2 linked regions of the Neodiprion lecontei genome follow. The protein of the gene in region 1 binds, or shares a complex with, the protein of each later gene. Links are inferred from orthologs where the notes say so. Each region holds a gene or a part of one and is shown on either strand. Other genes may lie near its edges. The genes, in order: WASH complex subunit 5 and WASH complex subunit 1.

The links.
Region 2: WASH complex subunit 5 (region 1) and WASH complex subunit 1 share a complex: the UniProt entries of both Drosophila melanogaster proteins name them as parts of the WASH complex. The link is inferred for Neodiprion lecontei from reciprocal best matches to the Drosophila melanogaster genes Strump and wash.

What each region holds. Positions count from the first base shown.
Region 1 is NC_060261.1:22,756,663-22,766,860, reverse strand, and holds the start of WASH complex subunit 5, read right to left. Parts: upstream 5,037-10,198; 5' UTR 4,943-5,036; coding exon 4,821-4,942; intron 4,581-4,820; coding exon 4,490-4,580; intron 4,399-4,489; coding exon 4,207-4,398; intron 3,202-4,206; coding exon 2,987-3,201; intron 2,904-2,986; coding exon 2,537-2,903; intron 2,449-2,536; coding exon 2,173-2,448; intron 1,487-2,172; coding exon 1,261-1,486; intron 1,198-1,260; coding exon 962-1,197; intron 959-961; exon of another isoform or gene 885-958; intron 627-884; exon of another isoform or gene 188-626; intron 1-187. Other genes in the region: uncharacterized protein LOC124293002, read right to left, coding at 8,857-9,541. UniProt on the Drosophila melanogaster protein: Acts at least in part as component of the WASH complex which may regulate wash nucleation-promoting factor (NPF) activity and is required for its membrane targeting during endosomal sorting.
Region 2 is NC_060264.1:30,290,965-30,301,562, reverse strand, and holds WASH complex subunit 1, read left to right. Parts: upstream 1-4,958; 5' UTR 4,959-5,027; coding exon 5,028-5,073; intron 5,074-5,165; exon of another isoform or gene 5,166-5,407; coding exon of another isoform or gene 5,408-5,429; intron 5,430-5,728; coding exon 5,729-5,858; intron 5,859-6,046; coding exon 6,047-6,602; intron 6,603-7,065; coding exon 7,066-7,878; 3' UTR 7,879-8,160; downstream 8,161-10,598. Other genes in the region: dynamin-1-like protein, read right to left, coding at 289-345, 520-731, 834-1,155, 1,385-1,570, 1,750-2,280, 2,369-2,616, 2,856-3,420, 4,401-4,502; carboxypeptidase N subunit 2-like, read left to right, coding at 9,770-9,811, 10,141-10,278, 10,467-10,598; congested-like trachea protein, read right to left, coding at 8,925-9,112, 9,244-9,417. UniProt on the Drosophila melanogaster protein: Acts as a nucleation-promoting factor by activating the Arp2/3 complex to induce actin polymerization. Participates in both linear- and branched-actin networks.

The sequences.
Region 1 (10,198 bases):
AACATACTGCGCTGGTCTAACTTGTACCTTTTTCTTCTAAAACTGTAATTCTTCTCAAAAATTTTCCTCTTCCAGATTTTTTCTCGTATTTATGACTTATATTTATACATACAAACTACACGATCACATTCTAAGATAGTGAAATTACATCTCTGAATTTTTTGAGGTAGATTGGACTCATACATTCGACAGGTAACACGTCAAAAATGGAACAGGGTCATTTTGAACCAGAGTGTTCTTCATAATCCAAAAAATAAGTTAGTTGTCGAATGGTTAAAGTTAATATAGTGACGGTAAGTAAAAATTATCTCTCCGTAGATATGGTGCTGACCTGAACTTGCCAAAACGTCTTTGGGATAGCAATAGCCACATAGGTCAACCTGCGTCATCCAGCAGTAGATAAGAACACGAAATATCAAAACGCGTGCGTTAATTAGCGGTAGGCAAACATCAAATCGAAAGACTGGACTTAAAAATCAGCTGCAATAATGTTTAACAGTTAGAGAACAGTGCTATGAGACGGTTAACGTAGAGTATATGTGCCAAACGTTAAACGAGAAACCTGCAAGTGAGATATTTTCACATGGTTCATAGGCACAAATGGCCTCGACGAAGAAAAATTTAAGGTATAAACAAGAAAAACGTACAAGTGCTTAACGTTTAAATGAGGTTTTACTGTATCAGTAAACAGTAAATAGAAAATGTGGAATTTTTGACAAGAAGTTAAAAAATAATTGAACTCAATGGGAACTGCAGTTGAGATATGGATTCAAGGTTAAGAAAAAAAACCTCATTTCACCAATAACATGGTTCTTACTTTTTGACCGTGTGTGTGTCAATTTTCAGTGGACATAATTCACAACGTTTTTACGATTTTTTTTTAGAAATTATCAATGCGAAATATTACCATTTTTTACTAATAAAATGAGTATTGAGCAATATCAGGAAGTGAGAATAATACCTTCGAAAAAAGGGGTTTCAATTTGGTAACCATCGGTGGATCCTTTTTAATACACTCCTGCATGATGCTTATGAAAGACTCCATAATGTTCCATGCGTAGCTACAGTCTGTTACGATGTTTAAGGCGATCATTACATCCTCAGTTATGCTACTGGTGCGAAGCATACGCTGCAGTATATCACGAGTGTCAGCGAGGTACTGAGATATATGTAGATTATGCTCCAATTGATGAAACTCTGTAAGTTTATGTTACAACAATCTCTGAACAATTAACAAAAAACCATAGACAATCAACTTGCCTTGAACTTCTTCCAGGGCCTGAAACAGCTGCACTATCTTTCTTCCCTCGTCTTGCTGTAGGGAATCAACGTGTTTTCCTATCTCTTTGAACCATATCTGCAAGCATTCGTTCTTTTCTACCCCATCTAGCGGCCTGTTTCCACTGAACACTTCTGCCAAACCAGAAATACGTTCAACGCAAATCTCTTTGTGACGAGTCCAAATTGTTTCTTTGTCAGTCAGCAGCTGCGTAGGTGTTCAAGTATAGTTAGTATTAAAACAAAATGTAAAGATAACAAAGTGACTATCTGACAAAGCAGTTAAGGCAACTAATTTTTTCATGATGCGCTTTCTTTAAAACTCTACATTAGTATTACAGTGTCTAAGTATAAGGAAATGGATGGAGGAAATGGCACCAGCTGCAGTATATCTATTCGCTTCAATCTCACCTTGCATTGCATAAAATAATGCTGTGTAGAAAATTAATACTCACTAAAAGAACATTGAATTTACTGGATATTTCAATTTTTTAAAAGCCGAGGCCAGAGTTTATAACCACAAATCTACTTAAGAACCCCAGCATCTGCTGTGCTTAAACCGAATAGACAAACTGTAAAGTTGGACATCTTCAAAGTGAAAAGATTCACAAGTAGAATAAATATGACCTAGCAAATCCTTCCGTACAATTTCATTATCCTCGAATGCCTTTAAAATATCATTTCACACCTACTTAGTTTATTTGGGAAATTTATTTTCAATCTGACTTCACTTCACTCTATTGTACAATGTACAACATTTCAAAGATGCTGAATGTTCCACTAAGTAGAAGTAGACTGGTGTAAAATAAAGTGCAGGATGAAAATTATAACTGAGATATTTCATTTCTTCAATAACCATTATTTGAAATAATACGCGCCATTAACATGTCTCACCTGTTTGTACATCTGTTTAACATCTTGCTCTAGTTGAGCAGTATTAAGCAAAAGCCAGAGACATTCAATGGCGATGTATTTGGATTCCTGTATAACGAGTTGGCGGATACTCCGCGATCGTTTGGATCCTTCGCTGAACATACCAGGCATTGAGGTGTGGAGAAGGATCCAATGAAGAGTAACATTACAGTCACGAACAAGCTTGACAGTATTTCCGATTGCATTTTCCTCCACTCTTTTGGTTAATTGGAATTCTTTGGTATCGGCTACCTGTTTCTGAAAATCACAGGTAGAAACTTACTCAACATTTTTTGTTAGCATTGAATTTTGTTAGAAGAATAACGTACAGACATCGTATGCATACCTTTAACTTCTGCCCATACTTTTGAGCAATTTGTTTCACGTTTGAAACCTCAAACGTGTTATTGAGAGCATTTTTTGCAGCTTTATATGGCTCCCACCAGTCCCACAAGTTCAGGACTAGCCCCATGTATATACTGATCACCCAATTATCCGGAAAAAATCTATCGACTGTTTCTCTCATTATCGAAGTTTGAGAGTGAAGCGTAGACGGGCTGAAGGCTAGAGCCACGACTAGCATAGCAGCCTGACTGGCTAGCGCCATGCTCCGATGTTCTGGATAAGGAAAAGCCAGACTTTGATTGTATATTTCGTCCGAGCGAAGGCGACTTATTACGAGATCAACAAGAAGAGTGTTGAGCGGAATTCGTCTGTATACGAAAAAATTATTTTGTGAGTTTTTAACCTAGAATTTTGTGAATGTTCAATTCAAATCAAAGAGGGAAAATATTACTTAAAATATGCTTCCGGATAGTTTGCAGGGCGTTTGAAAGGTGCATTGCTAAATCCTGTTGATCTGAGTAGGACACAAACATCATCTACCCTTGTCGTTGATATATGCTGTACATTGTATCGGTAGTAGGAAACAAGCAGCCGTTCTCGAATTGGTCCTTCGAAGTGCAGATCAACCAACAAAAGCATGACTCCGTACAAATACACTGCCTCACACTGCGATACAAGGACGATTTCAATATTATTGCTCAGTTTGCTACATCATGTACGATCATGAGTGGGAAAGCAAATAGTTTTTGAAATTTTTTATCAGGGATTACGAAAGGTTTGAATTTTTATATTCTTGATCTTTGTCTGGCTGTTTATTGCGGGCAACCAACTGCGTCCAGGAATGAAAAACATCGCTCGTTTCGTGAAATTCGGAATTAACAGAAACTTTTGCTTTCAACAATTTACTGTATCAGATATTTCTATGTGAAACAGATGTGAGTTCAAAGTAATTTCTGCAATCCTGCTTTCGTCTTTCATATTCGATATATGAATTACTACTTTTTTCTCAAGTAAATCATGGAATTTTAGTTGTAGAAAAGAGATCAGAATAAATATTTTGTATAAAGATTGTTATATTATTACAAACTATGATCAATTTTAGACACTCAAAAGATTCTCCGACTTCTCTAGTAAACAGGAAATTTCTTTGAAGTGGGATAGCTTAAAAAGTCGTTTTTGATTTCTTTGTTCTGAAGAGAATTTCAAAAAAAGAACATGCTATAATAATCTGATGAAGTGAAGTTGTTTGCAAATCGAGTCATAACACATTCAAAAAATTGTAGCGCAGTTTGAAAAAGTTGACACAGCTGAAAGCTGTTCAGCATAGTATCCATTGGAATTAACATTCTTAATCACCAGGAATAATTCCTCCATCATTCCAAAATGTCACATGAAAATATGCTTCAGACAAAATTAAATCACATATGTTTTAAAAATAATATTCAGAATTGAGTTCATGCAGCAATATAACCTTGCTTTGGAATACAGCAGAAAGCTAACGACTATTGGAACTTAAATTACATTATATCTCTAATGAGTAAGCATCTTTTTTGCAAATATTTTTAAATAAAATTCTCTCCTTTTTTGCGACCACTATCCGCATATTTGGTTGATTAACTTCCTTAATATCGAGTAAACAAAGCTGACCAGACACATACAATATGTCCATACCATCAACTGCTTTCCTTCTTCACTGAGCATTATTGTTTCGATAGATTGCTGTATGTATATTCCATCCTCCAATTCTTCGGTAAAAGCATTCAAATCGGTAACATACTTGTGAATGCTTTCAAAAGCCAAATAAAATCTAGTCAGAATATCTGAAAATGTATCACGCATCTCTTCGTCCAGTTCCTGCGATACCTGGGTTTGTCAGACCATTTGGTTAGTGAGTAAACTATTATATTCTGATATAATACATCCATCTATAGCTTCGATTACAATTTTGACTCACAGAATCGTTTTCTATTTTATGCTCATACGCATCGGCAGCCTTGAAATAGGAGAAGTCCAAGATGATTTGGCTGTAACGTTGATCCGCCTGCCTATAAATTGGTGTAAGGGACAAGTTATGATAGTGAGATTGACGGACGTTTATAGAATAATGAATACCTCATTTGCAGTTTGACACCTCAGTGAGAACTTAATGTGGATGTATTATTTATGTGAATTGGAAATTGCTGAAGGTGTTCCATATGAGCATGACCATCGTGATATCGTTTTACATGCATATGCAGAATGACGATATGAGAATGAAGAGGTATAAACGAACAGAGAATACTAACCTAAAAATTGGCGGCACGTAATCCTTTAGCCGCATCAATTCAGCTATAATAGCATTTCCACGCGAAACAAGCTGTAAAATATTCTGGCCGCATCCGTTATTCAATGCCAGAAAGTCCCCCATTTTAGAGACAGGTTAATCTGTTGAACCTTTTGACGAGACACTCCACTTACAATTAAATAGACCACGTCAAAACATTAGTTTTCTGCTTTGCGGACTCATTGCAGCAAAGTCGGATAGAGTGCGTGAGCATGATTGCATTGTTGCAGGCGTTATAGATGCAAACTGTCCGCCTTATTAGCGACCTATTAATATACCTCGGGATATTCAAATACATTAATTATAACCTTAATTATAACTTACCGACTCATGTCTCAAATTCAACGTCAAAATGAACTTAGCCGACGTTGCGAGATTTTTCAGCTAACAAATTTTGCATTTTGCTGATTTATTTTCAAAATCACGTGCACTTACTTCAAATTTTGATTGCTGTTTTATTAGTACTAAGATCTTTACCTAAGAATTTGGAATCCCTTTAGATTTGCTGACCTTTTAAATTATCTCTTACAACTATTATTGACGCGGCTGAAGCTATCAACCAGAATTAGCAACCAAACGTTCTAATATTCATTCAAATAAGGTAATAAAGTGCAATAATCGAAATTTTTTTAAAACGTTGAACCCCCAATACTTTTATAGAATTATGAGGATAAAACTGAACTGCATGTTTCTATTTCGAAAAAAGTTTAACACCTCCATTAAAATTTGCTTTATAATAGTCAAAATATAATATGACAGAGCAAAATGAAATGAAGAGGAAAATATTTCAAATTAGACGCAGGTTGTAGTTTGTACAATAAAATTCGATTCTGGCGATAATTTTACTATCTTAAGAACTAATCTCAAATCCAACGCAGTAAATAAAACTAACAATGGGTGCTGATCAAAATATCAGGTCGAAGTTTGAGAACTTGAGGCCATTTCTTTGTAATTTCCATCGTCAAGTATAGTATAGTATAACCTGACTTTCGTTAACAATTTTTGACTTCAACCCAGTTCTGTTACAGCTAACAATAAGTGTAACGAGTTCTCTTAATTTCACCAGATTTTATTTAGAACTAATTGAATTCTCTGTGTCTGGAAGTCAGTACTATTTAAGTACTAGTTAAGAAAACGCTAAAACGATCGTTATGCATGTACGAAAATAATAATAACGAGTTATTCAGTCAAACTCTCCTTTCGGAGTTTTATAGGTACATATTTGTTTTAGCCACCATACATAATCCTACTTTTTCATCATATGACAATGTTCAATAAAAATCTGAATGCATAAATCCTTGCCGTATTTCATTTCTGCTCCCAACCACCCTGTAGATGCAATTATCTATGTAACCAGCTGCCTTAGATCACAAAAACTTCTCCAGTTTTTCATTTTGTTCTTCAATTTCTTTCGTTGATCTATAATTATTTTTTCTTCTGAGCGCATTTCGTATCCCATTTCTCATTGGGGTGCGCTAAAAATCGGTACTATAGTCTTCCCTTATCTCTCAAGCATCCAGTTAAACGCTTCCTTTAGGTACGTATATCGAGAATTATCAAGTTGCTTGTTATAAAAATGGCGCTTGCCCTCCCACCTGTCCATCCGACCCGCGCTAACACGCACAAGGCATTCTGTGCTATTCCTCGAATACTTCTTCCAATTGTGAACTCGAGTCTCGTCTTCAGTGATGTGTCCAGTTTCTGTTTAACTTTCTGACCTCTCGGTGAACTCTGCCAACTCTGCCATTTGATCCCGTAATGCAGTAATTTCGTCCCTTATCTACTGCATCGTGGTCAACATCTGCCTAAGCATTGAGACATTTATTTGCAAACCGAACACCTTTCTGACCGACACATTTTTGATTCAGCTGAATTTTTTTTACTGGTTTTACATCGAAAAAAAGAGATACGTATTCGAGGATTTTTTTTTCACATATTTTAGAAAATAGATGGGGTCGAAAATTTGAGAATCTGGTGATTTTCGGCGGGGAGACTCATTTTAAAAAATTCATAGCTCCAGTTCTATTTGAGCTAGATAGTTCTCTTTTTCATTTTAAAGCTAAAAGAATGAAATGTAATAAAAACATAGGTTCATTGAAAATTATTAATAAATGCATATTGTTATAAATAATTAAAATGTTTAAATCGATCTTTAACTCACCTCGTAGCGAGTTCTTAGTATAACCTTCGTATTCTACGTCAAATTCTTGATCAAAAAAGCATTTTTGAATGATGGAGAAATTATTGTTACTGTTGAAAAAAAATTAATTTATCTACCGCGGCACATTATATCGGCGCGCGGATTCCATTGCACGCCTCATTTTCTTGCCTCGTATCGTTTTTCTCTGTAATATAAATATAAATGATTATTCTATATTGTTGATAAAATAATATTATTTATTAGTAAATAAGACTTTATAAAAGATTGAACAAAAAAATAAAGACAATTTTTTTTTTATCTTTTTAATTCTGAAAAAAAATCATACCTTGAAAACCAGATCCCGGCCCATGATGAATTTTACACAAGTTTTTGAACAGTAAGAAAGGAATATGCTCTGAAATTTTTGTCGAAAGAAATTATGCCGCTTTTGAGAAATCTCAGAAACTAATATTCTTTGAGCTTTTACGGGGTTTCAGCGGCCACGATACCTTTTGCATAATTTAGCGCTGAAGTTCACTCAAAACTGAAACTTTTTCATATGCAACTTTTTTTTATACAATCAATAGCTTACGAGTAATACTTAATTACACTTCGGACGTTTCCGATTTCCGCAGATATTATACCGAATGCTAACGTCTAATAATAAGTGTTATGGAGTAAAAATCTAAAAAAAATCACAAACACTCTCGACAAGTAACAGAAAGTTTTCACGAATTTTAAACAGATTCGAAGAGACTTTTCCGCAGGTCAATCTGACGTGGAAAGCCACATATATATTATATATTGTTCTTCTTTGCTAATAAATAATATTGTTTAATTAAAAATATAGAATTAGCATTTATATTGCATATACAAACGATACGAAGCAAGAAAATGAGGCGTGCAATGGAATCCGCGCGGCGATGTGACGTGCCGCGCTAGATAAATTAATTTTTTTCCAATAGTAATAACAATTTATCCATCAACTAAAAATGCCTTTTTGATCGAAAATTTTACGTGGAATACGATGTTTATACTAAGAGCGCGCTACGCGGTGGGATGAATTGTTAAAAATCGAGTTAAACATTTTAATTGTTTATAACAATATAAATTTGCTGATAATTTTCAACGAAACTGTTTTTTCATCGAAATTCAGTCTTTTCACGTTAAATCGGCCGTTTTAACTCCGAAAATTATGAAACAAATCATAAATCTAACAGAACATATCTGCGCACATATCAAGGATTTTTTCAGATTTTTCGGTAGCAAACTCGAGCGTCTGAAAATTCTTGAACATTTGTATGAGTGGTGTATATATGACAGTTCAGGACCACACAATGGCGCGCATCCTCCTAGCTCCCCCCCTAGCCCCCCGTTCCCCTAAATCCGCGGTGCTGCCCCCTCCCCTAAAACCGCGGCGCTACCCCCCCAGGATTTGACACACACACACACACAAAATAATTCCTGTCGAGATTTGTTTGGCGCCGGAAAGCCGTGCATAAATCGGATAGGGTAAAAACCCGCTAGATCTATTGAAAAAATTCCAGGAAATGACCCCTGAAGGAAGGTTTAAAATGGCGTTTTGAATGCTTTTAACAATTTTTTTATTCAACATCAATTACACTTAGTTTTCTTATTCTATTCTAAATTATCTTATTCTAAATTTTAACGAGTGAAATTATACATACATAATATTTTCAATATCCATATTAATTGAACATATTATTATTCCAAAACTGACTTATACCAATTTTTTTACAGTACCACTAATCGGATTATATTCAACAATGCGGTCATGCAAGATCATGCAGTAGGCAGAAGTGTGTGGTGGGAACGTGATGCTAGAGTCAAATTCCAATCAAATGTCCACAGGTCCAATTTTTAATGTTTTGTCCTGCTTGGAGCAATCGATGACGATAAGGGGAGCTTGGTTTATAAATTCACGCTTCGATAGCAAAGGCTCAGCTTCTGTGGTTTTTGTGGAACGCATGCGCCTTACTTCCAAAATTTGAGTGCGGTCAATCGCGACGTCCAGAACAGTCTGGTCATGATCGTTTACATGACCTTCAGGGAGGCCCGTGATAATGAGATCAGAGGCGTGTAGAGCGCATTCCAGCTGTGTAACACGGTCAAGAGCTCGGGTATCCAGGGGCGGTACACCTGTGGGAGAAGGACGCTGCTCAATTTCACCTGCACGCCGAGACAAGGTGTCAACTGATTCGGACAGTGAGGCTGTAGTTCCTTCGATGTTATCTAGTCGGTTCGAGACAGAATGCAGCCTTACCAGACAATCGCGAACATCGGAGTGGAATTCGTCGAAATCGGAAACTTGTTCTTTAATGGATGCTATATCCCCGAAAACATTTTCGATTTTGTCGAGCTTCTCCGATAATTTTGGAATGACTTTGATAGTGGATTCAATGCCCACAAGCTTATTAGTGAGAGAGGTGATTAGATTTGAGAACACAGCTATTTGATTACTAAGAGCCGGTATGTCACGCTCTTCGGATGTATTAGGGGGACCGTCTGAGACACTAGACACACTGGTTGACCGTTTTCGGCACGAAAAGCAGGTAACACCGGAGGCCGGAGGTAGTACAGACACGGACGAGATCCCGAGTTTGCACCCAAGGCATTCCCCATGGACGCCATGCGTCTCCACCAAGCACAAACGTACGATGTTATCCGTCCCAAAAAACTTCGAGCAGATTCCACAGTTGACAGCTGGCGTATTGCTGTATACACACAGCGGTAAGCGTATACACAGCGGAGGAGTACGAGAGGTTCGAGCGAGACGTATGGTGCACACACTCACAGTGGCAGAAGCTCACGAACGGAGAGGCAAACGCACACGTAGAGAGAGAAGCACGAAAATAAGATATAGCGAGTCCAAAGTTCAAATAGGAGTGAGACGGTCAGATAGTGTAGATGTGTATAACAGTAGATTATTATAGCACAGACCGTTAATAGACGGCTAAACAATAATACACAACACACCTATATCGGATAGTCTTCTACACACAAACAGTCAGCGTCGTAACAACATCAATGGCCCGTTGAAATGCCACAAATTATACGAAGATGTTTAGTTGCAGAAATTATGTAAAACTGCACTGCGTAGGGTCAAGAAATCTACGCAGTTGAAACACACAGACTCCAACCACCGAATGGTACACGCCGCGAATTTTTCTGATACGTAG
Region 2 (10,598 bases), on another chromosome or scaffold:
TTTTACACTCTTTGTTCTCCTGAATACCCTGGACATTAACTCGAATACGATAATTTGATTTCTTAAATTATGCATTCGAAGAACTTGGAACTTTGCATTTTTAAGAATTGCATACTCGAGCAGTTTTCAGGATATTGGACAACCGCTTGGAAAACAGAACCGTTTGATTCAACAGGCAAATGGCATTAATTCAATCAATTACCGGCGTATGTCCAGACGCAAGTGATATACCTATTTGTTACTAGCATTTCTGCACCTGTGCATTTCTCATACGACTAGTGACGATGATCACCACATATGTGTCTCACGAATCTCGCTTATGATGTGCCCAGCCTTTGTTAGTGCCTGTAAATGATATAAATATAATTATACACCATTCTTCAGCGATCGAATAATTGTATGAATTATATTTCCATTGTCTTTAAAGCGGGTCTCTCGATCGGTTAACGTTTCGAGACTCCCAAGTGAACAAACGATAATATTTGTGAGGAAAAAAAAAAAAATAAACAATGTACGCACTTTGAGCATATCAGCAGCTTCCCTACGCCTCACGGCGATGTGTTCGCTCTCATTAAGTAACGACTCAATGTGGTCCGTTTTGTACAGGTGAGTGACCAACTCGCTCTGTAAATTGTCCTTAACGTAATTAACGAGGAAATGCATAACAGCCTTCGGTACGCTGTCCTGAATTGATTTTCTAACTATGTAAAAATACGACTTGATAAGACGCTCTGAAAAGTATAAAATAACATTAATTATTTATAGTTGAACAAAACTGTAGATTAAAAAAAAAAAGACAAAGATCGAACCATTAATCATTCCAGATATCTTACCGATCACATCACAGTCACGTTGCTCACGATCACTAAGCTTCCGAGAAGTTTGCATCGGAACTTCTGGGAGTAGATTTACTGGTTTTTGCTGTGGCGATCCCCGCTGTAAATCCGAAACAGAATTTGGGCTAGGTGTAGGATTAGGAATGGGACTTCCATCCCTATATCTTACTGGAGATCCATCGATGGAATTGCCGCTTGTTGAATCAGACTTTACTTGCGGCAGCAAGTTGCTCAGCAGCCAATGATTTGCTTGTGCCTCTTTACTTTGTTCGTTATTAAATACCGGTGGCTCCTCACGATTGTTGACTGCTTTTTGATTCTGACAAAACATTGTTACCAAAGCTTTTATGTGACGAAAATATTTGATTGATTGTAGTTGATCAGGAAATTTTTCAACTTGCGAGATAAAAAAGACAATATAGGTATGTTCTGAGAACAATAAAATTTTCTCAAAATTCTGTTCAGAAACATTCAATGGTTGATAGAAATAGACGAAAATATAAAATTGTTCAATTTAAACCAAGAATGGATCAACTATTATTGCTCACTTGTTCGGAAGGTAGAATCGTACTGCCTGTAGAAGTATTTGAAGAAGCAGATATATGTCTTTTACTGGGTCTTACTTGATCCGCCTCTGCATTCTTTAATAACGAAGAGACTAGTGCCGCATCTTTGTGAAAATCTGGATGTTTGGTATTGATGTAAGCAAGCTCGATAGCGACCAAATTCTCCACCTTGTAAACAGATTCTCTTGGTTAATTATAACAAGTGCCGAAATAAGCGAAAAACTAGTCGCAACGTCATTACAAATAAGGTAAACCGTTCAGGCAAGTCTAAGTGAAATCGATGTCAATGCTCCATTTTCACAAAACGCAGACCAAAGTTGCGTGTAATGTATTTGAAATATCTTCACCATAGAATTAGTTGTCGGTAATCGTCGGCGTAGAAGATGCGTAACAACGTCGACGATCCGTTCGTGTAGTTTTGGAAAACGAAGCATTTCTTGCTGAACTTCGGTGCCGCAGTGTTGAATGATTCTCTGCATCTCTTCGTGAACTAGTTCGACGCAGCGTAGCGAAGGCTCTTCGAGTCTCCTGATCTGTCGCTTGACCAGGAGTTCAAACGAGACCTCGGGAACAAAGAGAGCCGGTCTGGGACCCGTCGCATTTCGAATTGCAGTCAAAATATCCATCCTAGTTAGACCAGCCAGTGGATGAATGGAATCTAGTGTTCGTCCAAATGTCTCGTGAAATATGTAGCAGATACGAGCACCTCCACAGAGCTCGGTAGTCTCTATATTTCTTGCTGTTCCCTCAATCGTCGAACAGTAACTGCTCGCAAACTTGGTTATTATCTGAAGCAGTGTCTGGCTCTTGTCTCCCACATCCTCTCCGTATGAGTTTAAAAGTGTTTGGAATTGGGAGACCATCACATTCACGCGTGTCTGTTGTTTGAATAAATAATTGTTACATGGCCGAAGGAAGGGACCAGATTTACATGCTCTCCTGACTAACAATTTAGCAAAGGCTTACCTTTAAATCGGGAAGGCAATCGCGAATATGATGCATTAAAAGTCTGTTGAGGGTTTTTGCTAAGTAAGGAGTGCCGTTTCTGTTTGCCAAAGTAGGATATTTTCGTTGCAGGAAGGCAGCTTCGTCCTTAAGAGCTTCCTGGATAGACTTGTTATTCATTATGTCTTGCTGTGAACGATTTACAACTCCTATGATCCCCAGCTTCACAGGAATCACCCGTCCGCACAGGATATCAATCGCATCCGTTCCTCAAACCCAAAATAACAAGCGACTCTCAAGCAGGGTTGTATAAATGAATGATAAAATAATTCCAAGAAAAATATAATTCTTCGGGACAAATTTTCAGATCAAGATTAGCTAATCAAATCAATTCTTAAACTTAACTCCAGTTTAAGAGAGAAAAAAGAAGGATAGAAAGAAATACGTCGCCACAAAATTCAATACATCAGATATCAGTTCAAAGTTACTATTTAGTTGGTCAAATTACCAGCGTCCATTAGATCCAGTTTAGTAACAACTGCGAGGGTTCTCCTTCCATCGGGATCAACGTCTTTGCTGAGTTTGAGGCTCTCGCTGGTCGCCATGTCCGTGTTTGCGGTTACAACGGCCAATATTATGGAATTTGGATTGCAAATGTGTTTCAGAACCAAGTTTCTGATTTGCGCTTCAATATCCTCGGGCTGATCGCCAACGGGGACCTTGGTGATCCCTGGCAAGTCGACGAGTGTCAGATTTACAACCGAGGTTGAATAAACCTTCAGATTAATCGGTTCAGGACAAATTCCCTTGTTGGATCCAGCCATCCGATTCGTTTCAGCCTCAATTTCCAATCTGATATCATCGAAGTTTGTAAATATTTTATTTTTAGTGTGCAAAAATACACCCCACTCGTCAAGGGTCAGCGTCCCATCTTCGGCTGTTCTGTGCTCCCTGTCATCTTTCGGCGCATAAACGAGCTGAAGAATCAACGGCCTACGAGTCACTATACCAGTCCCTCTGGGCAGAAACGAGCGGCCTACCAAACTCTCTATGACGGACGATTTCCCGGAGCTCTGCATACAATGGAAAACATATATTCTCATTTCATTTGTCGGATATTCTTTTCATTCTCAAATGGGATAATGTATGGATAACACAAGGGAATTGGAAGAGGTAATTCATCATAGAAATAAACATTTTCCCAAACTATTTGTGACTGCACAGTTTTCTGGAGTTCTAATTCATAGTAGAAAATTATTCCTGGAATTAGATTCATTTCAATTTATCAACAATTCTGATAACTCTCAACCTCAAGAATAAGTGTTTTCATAGTTTAGCACAGGGATTAAAATTTTTATCTTTGAAAATCATTAGCAATCACTAAATAACTAATACCGGAAGTGGTAATGAAAGAAAAGTAATTTTGGAATGGGATAACGTTTTTTTAAAGTTTCACTTGTATGTTCATTTTAATGATTGTTGAATTGGAAAAATAGTTTTTGCTGGATCCTGTTAAGAAAATTCATATTTGTTGTCATTCACAGATCATGCAATGTAACCTAACAATGAGAATCTAAAAATTGGAGAAATGTTTTATGAAAGTAGGCGTTAAGGTGGACGAATAATTTAGGAGTAAAAATGAAACCAAAGATGGATATAAAATTAAAAAATAGTGTTTTCAAAGAATTGATTTGCAAGATTCCATTAGGAAAAGAAAAAAAATATGTTTTCTTTCATCACTGGTCTCATCAGCAAAAAATAAATTCAACTGTAAGAAAATGCTAAAACTAGTAAAAATCATCGATAAAAATAGAAACTTTTAAACGATAGTAATTTTAATGAGTGAAGTAAAATAATTTTAGTATAATATTCTTCGAATTTGAAATACAATACCTGAAAAAGTCATATCGACGACAAGTAGGATCACAAAGATAAAGGATCAAGGATCCGAGGGCAAGATCGGGCTTTTAAGGAAGAAACGCGAGACTGTCTAAATCAATGGTTTGAAACGTACCGACACATTGTCAATAGTATAGGTGAAATTATAATTAACCTGTGTTCCGAGAACGACGATTTGAGGCAATTGTATGGCGTCAGCACCAACGGTGTTGAATACATCTTGGAGTTTATTTATCACTGGAATGAGGGCCTCCATGATCGACGACGACGAGGTTAAGAGTAGTCGAGGAATACCACGATTTCTGTACAGATTAACGGAGCCTGAAATTCTAGCCACCCGACGAAAATTACAAGCTGAAGAACAATCGGAAGATCGAGGATACTGCGATTCCAACAGTTACGAGCATCTACACCACCTTCAACAAATCCAGCTCGAGCGTATGCAGAGATCGATGGATTATCGTTTTATTTTACAGAAACTAAAACCTAGGCGGTTTCTGCATCGATCGTCGACGAAATCGAAACCTCTCATTAACCCAGCGATACCCTTTTTAACTCACTACTCCCGTTTAATCCACCGGCTGAATTCACTCGGCCAGGAATCGTCAAGCCGCCATCTTTACTCTCCTTAAGGCGGTCGATTGCGAATTGGATCGCGAATGGGTTTTAAGTGCGGCCGTTATTTGAAATTTGAATTTATTACAGACTGCACGAAGCCGCGATTATAATCACGGAAATCAATCTGCGTTCGTATTTTCTTTTCTCATCCTCTTTGCTACGCATGCGATCTTCAGCCGCCTCGCGCTTTGGATTCGATTCGAAACTGGGTAAAGAATTGCAATCTTTGGCCAGTTTTTGACGGACGGAACGGAACCTAACATAACCTAACCTGATAAAGAATTAATGGGCGTAAAGTGGCAGAACTAAGAATGGCAGTCGTTCGCCTATGCAGACGATATGCAGTAGCACTTGTTTTGAGTAGTTTAAACCAGATTTAAATACAACTCGAATGATATGAGAGAGTTTATGGCGATGAGTTAATGGTTCGCGATTGTTGTTAAGTGTCAATACATTTTTCGGGGGAAGGAGCCGGCGTCGGATTGATATTTGAATCAATCGTCGTTTGTTTGTATAAAAATTGACCTTATCGAATCAGGAGAAATGCAGGGGCACATAGAAATTGGTAATAATGATACATTCGGCGTAATTTTTATACATTTCGTGTTATAAATACTCAAACATCAGTCATTCGCATTGTTTTTAATTGATTCGAGAGATAGATGAGATTTCTAAACAAATTCATTCGAACGCAGACCACAGTGTTATGCAAAATAATCTATGATCTTTGGATAGATAACGTTATGAAATCGTATGATTTTTAATCTTTAAATATCAGATGACAATAACAGTCACAATAATATTTATTTAAACAAATAATTATTCTCTCTTCGGCAAGTTTTAATTTTCAGCATCGTGTTTCAGGTGTGATTCCGCATGATTTGCGACAGGAGGAAACCATAGTCCAGATTGCAGAAGCATTAGATTCGCTCAACTCTGCTGTAGCAAGCATATTTAGCTGTATCGACGAGCGGTTATCGGAAAATACAAAAAGGTATTCAAGACAAAGTTGTTTGTGTTCTTTCGTTATGAAATGTAGTTGTGTAGCGCAAATCTGGTCTTCACTCTCAGAGATTGAAGAAAGAATAACTAATTAGCGTTTTCATTTTTCACAAGGTAGAAGAAAAGAACTAATGGTTGGAAAATATACTAAAAAATCTCATCTTTGATACGTTGTTACAGATTAGCCGGTATAAAAGGTCGCGCTGTGAAACTTCAGGGCAGATTAGACCACCTGCAAAATAACCTAAGCTTGAAGGCGGTGAAGCTATACTCTGCAGCAAAATACCCCTCGAATCATGTCTACAGAGAGTATCCGCTGGCTCTAAAACTGCCAATTAAAAAGGAGGATAAACCGCCGAGCGTCTATAAGAGCCCAGTTCCCATAGCGCAGGAGTTGAACTCGCAAAATATCGTCACCGAAAAGTCAAAGGACGGGCGGTGGAACGTTGACATCAACATACAAGACAAGCTGCAATTTTATCACGTCAAAAGTAAAACAAATAAAGGCAAGGGCTCTGGACATTCTAGAGCTATTCCAGTTAGACCAACCTCTGTCAGTTCGCTACTGCTACACGACGCCAAAGACAACCAGTATGGTAAACTTCCCGCAAAAAGCCTGGCATCGGCTAATGACAAGAGGGAAATCGAAGATGCTCCTACTTCGATATTGCAGTCATGGCACACCAATGATCTAGAATCTCCATCAAATTACTTCTATGCTCCAACGTTAGGCGAAGTACGTTTTTTAAGATTTATACCAACAAGGGCTTTTAGTTTGAAAGATATAAAATTTCTTGAATATTTTCTCTATTTTTTTAACTGATCGAGGTTTGAAATTTGAAAGAAATTCGTAACTGTTCTAGAACATGCTACTACTTTCAATACAAGGGTACCGACTATCAAATCTTATGAAACTGCATTTTTTCAGTGGATATTACAAACATACTGTAAACTCATCACTTCGGTACTTTAGATTTGAAAAGAAAAAATTATGAGTACAAAGAAGTTGAATGCTCAGATCAAACAGATTTACTTTTCACTTTCACACTTCACTAACAACTTAAATTTGGTATGAGAACTAGATCTAGTTTGTATTATTCAATTGATGATAGATACCACATGATCAATGTTTAAAACTTCAAAACTAGCACAGCGTTTATGAAGAATTGATTGTACGATTATACCATTTGTGTTTTCAGGTTCCACAGATAAACGTACCTCTCAGTCTCCCAGACCTGCCAGGAATAGTTGATGACGAACGTTTTGTGCTTGACCTACACAGTCAGAGTCCAATTGCTCCATCTTCGGTGGTAACAACACCGACTGTGAACCTGCCCTTACCAGCAGCTCCGTCTGATTCTGCCCCCGACGCAACTATGGAACCTCAAAACAGTAGAGAAAATGAACCTAGCCTTCCAAATTTGAGCCTACCAAGCATATCATCGGAGCAAAATCCTCCACCACCTCTACCTCCGGTTGAGATCGGTAACGTTTCTCATCCTGGGCCACCACCGCCTCCTCCTCCCAATCCCTCCACACTTTCAATCTCGACATCTCAACCACCACCTTCTGCTCCTGCTCCTCCTCCTCCTCCGCCTCCTCCTTCACTTGTCGAACCTCCAAAATTGTCATCATCGGTTACGAAAGACACTAAAACACAGTCTGTTAAATCTGTTCCAAATGTCGATCAGGTCGATAATCGGTCTAGCCTAATGGCAGCTATCCGCGACGCGGGCGGAGTTGGTAGAGCAAAATTAAGGAGTGCAGCACGTAAGGATGAAAATACAGATAAATGGTCTTCTGCTTTCGTTGGGGGCGATTTAATGGCAGATTTACACAACAAATTATCACTCAGACGTAGAGGTATTTCTGGAACAGCTACCGGCGCATTGGGCAGAATGTCCGCTATGATTCCTCCACCTCCGAAACCAAACGAGTCCGCTACTTCGGAGCGAAATTCTGCCGCAAGTGAACAAGACTCGCAACCTGATACCGATGATTGGGAGGAATGATAGACTAAGATTGCTACTTGAAACTTCCTTTTTCGCTGTATAAAAACATACACAGAGAGTGATAAAATATATATTCCAACAATAACGATAAAAAGAAAAAAGAAAATGTCTTCTTTGCTGTCGTGTACATAATTCAATCAGTTGTTATAGCCGTAATTTCTGAATTAATTTCACGCAATTTCAACTAAAAGCTGGTCAGTATTAACAATTACAGTACTTGATGTATTGGTAAATCGATACAAGAAAAGGTCAACAATAATAAAAATATTGGTACAAAATTCATCGCATATCTATAATAAGTTTCATATCCTATATCAAATGTACATTGTTATTCGTAAGATATGCAATGAAGTAAAACAACTTTGAATATTGATTAACCGTAAAGAATTGTAGATCTTTAATTTTGTGGGCAGGTTACGATATTGGTATCATGATATTCGTAGTATCTGTCAGCAATTAGATTAGATAAAACCAGCCATCTCTACTTTCACGCAATCTACTGGAGTCTATGATTGTAGAAAAATCTCTATTCTATGTCTTATTCAATGAAACAATAATGACAACTACGACAATGATCAATTAATAAGAATTCAGCACTGCTCAGCAATGCAATATTATAACTTTGAACGTTTTAAGTCATCATTTTGCTTATCTACTCAGCAACAGGACTTTTAGAAATTAAACAATTTGCAATGTGCTTGGCCACTTTTTACATCACTTACTTATTTTTTTTTTTTTTCCAAGAGTTAAATAAAAATGTTCAATCGCTAACAACATTCCACACTGAAGAATGTTTCGATTTTAAAAATGGGGGGTTGGGCCGACTTTATGGCGGTTATAAAATGCGTGTATAAAATTGTAAAATCATTTCGATTAATATCCGTAATACTTATCGATAGAGCAGTTCTTCACAATATTCATATACTTATTCTTAACTAATAATATATATAATATTATATACTGTATAAGATTCTTCAGTTAGTAAAGGCAGTTTTTCAAAAATTATAACACCGACGAGGGTGTGAAAATAGGTGATCCAGTAATCGTTATAAATTCGGAGCTGCCAAATTGAGGAAATTCATCGCCACTTCAAAGCCGGCAAAACAAGCTGCGTTTGCAGGGAATGCTCTGAGCATTACAGGAGCACATCCTTTGTAAAGTGCACGAGGTCCCTCTTCCTTCATCAGTTGAGTGAATACAGAACGAATTCCATTTTTGTATGTGCCTTCCGGTGCTTTAGAAAAATTAGAAACACACGTTAAAACCTTCACCCCCTAGTTGAACGATGAAGAAGAATAAACGATTGCTTGCGTATCACTGGACATGGCAGTAATTTAGTCATAATTCGTTGGCTCGTTCACCTACCAGTTTGCAGTCTACTTTTTAATACATCTGGGGGTATCGCTACGATCCAATTTGCAATTCCAGCCATACCACCGGCAAAAATAGTCGACACAACACCCAATTTTCCACCATCAGGTGTCAACCATCTCTGAAGCAATTCGTACATCATGAAATACACTCCACTGGCCGGTACGTCTGTAATGATAGAGGAATAAGACAAAGAGTCGAATAAATGCGTATGCCCGAAGTTTAGGGGTGGCGTATTGTTATTCGCGATGGGTGTGCTTGTTGTGTTTGCTATTATTAATATAACTTAGTAACTTTCAAATTGGAAATCACACCGTAATTAATAATATTGTAGAACGTGCGTGGGTCGATAGATAACTGACATCCTGCCCGGATATGGGACAAACAATCTGACAGATAAATACAAACGAAATTCAGTTTCTCTCCAGCTAGCTTCTCTTTCGGAAATCTAATTGTTCCTCCTTGTCGTCTGACCACGGTTACACGCCACATCTTTTGCTATTCTATACGTTTTACTATCATGAAGATCGTCACGCTGTTTTTATGGCCAGTTTTAATCCCGGTTCGTGATCATCGCTTTGTGCAATAATTTCTACTCTCAGAGTTTTTCTCGTTTTTCTTTTTTTTTTTTCGATCTTTCAGAATAAAGTTAGCAGAATAAACTAATTCATTATTAAACGCGTTTGATTGTTGAATCATTAATTTTGGACAATTTTAGTTCGGAAGGAGATAGTGTTTTTGTTCGTGTTTTATTTTTATTTATTTTTTTAACAATTTTGACAACAGCTCGCGATATGCATCAGAGCTTCTGGTTTCCTACATAATTATATCTCTTGCTCATTTTCCTCAAGACTCAATGAATGTATTGAATATGTTCATGATTTTATTCAGGCTTGGTGTTTTGGACAGATAATAGACATCGGTGGAATATGGGAGATACAATGTCCTCATGTATGCAATTGTCAGATAGCAAAGTTCTATGATTTGCCTTTGTATCGGTGGGCCAACATGAACACGAATAATCAAGAGGTAAATGAGTTGGGTTATTTAGCTGTAACAAGACGTAATAAGTTTGTGAAAATAGATTGTTTGTTTTTTTTTTCTCGTCAAATTAGACCATAATTTTTCAATAAATCAATAAATCTTCAAAAGGTTAATTACGAGAAGCACGTTACATTTTGATTTGACAATACTCCATGGTTGTATTAATTCCGCAGGATTTAGAACCGGAGGTGAATTATTATCAAAGTTTGAACAATGACGAACCAATGGCAACCGAGTTGTTGAAAGTAGCCACGTGTGTGCTGACAAAGGACGCAAAGCAGTTGCTGGAATCTCTTCCGATAGAT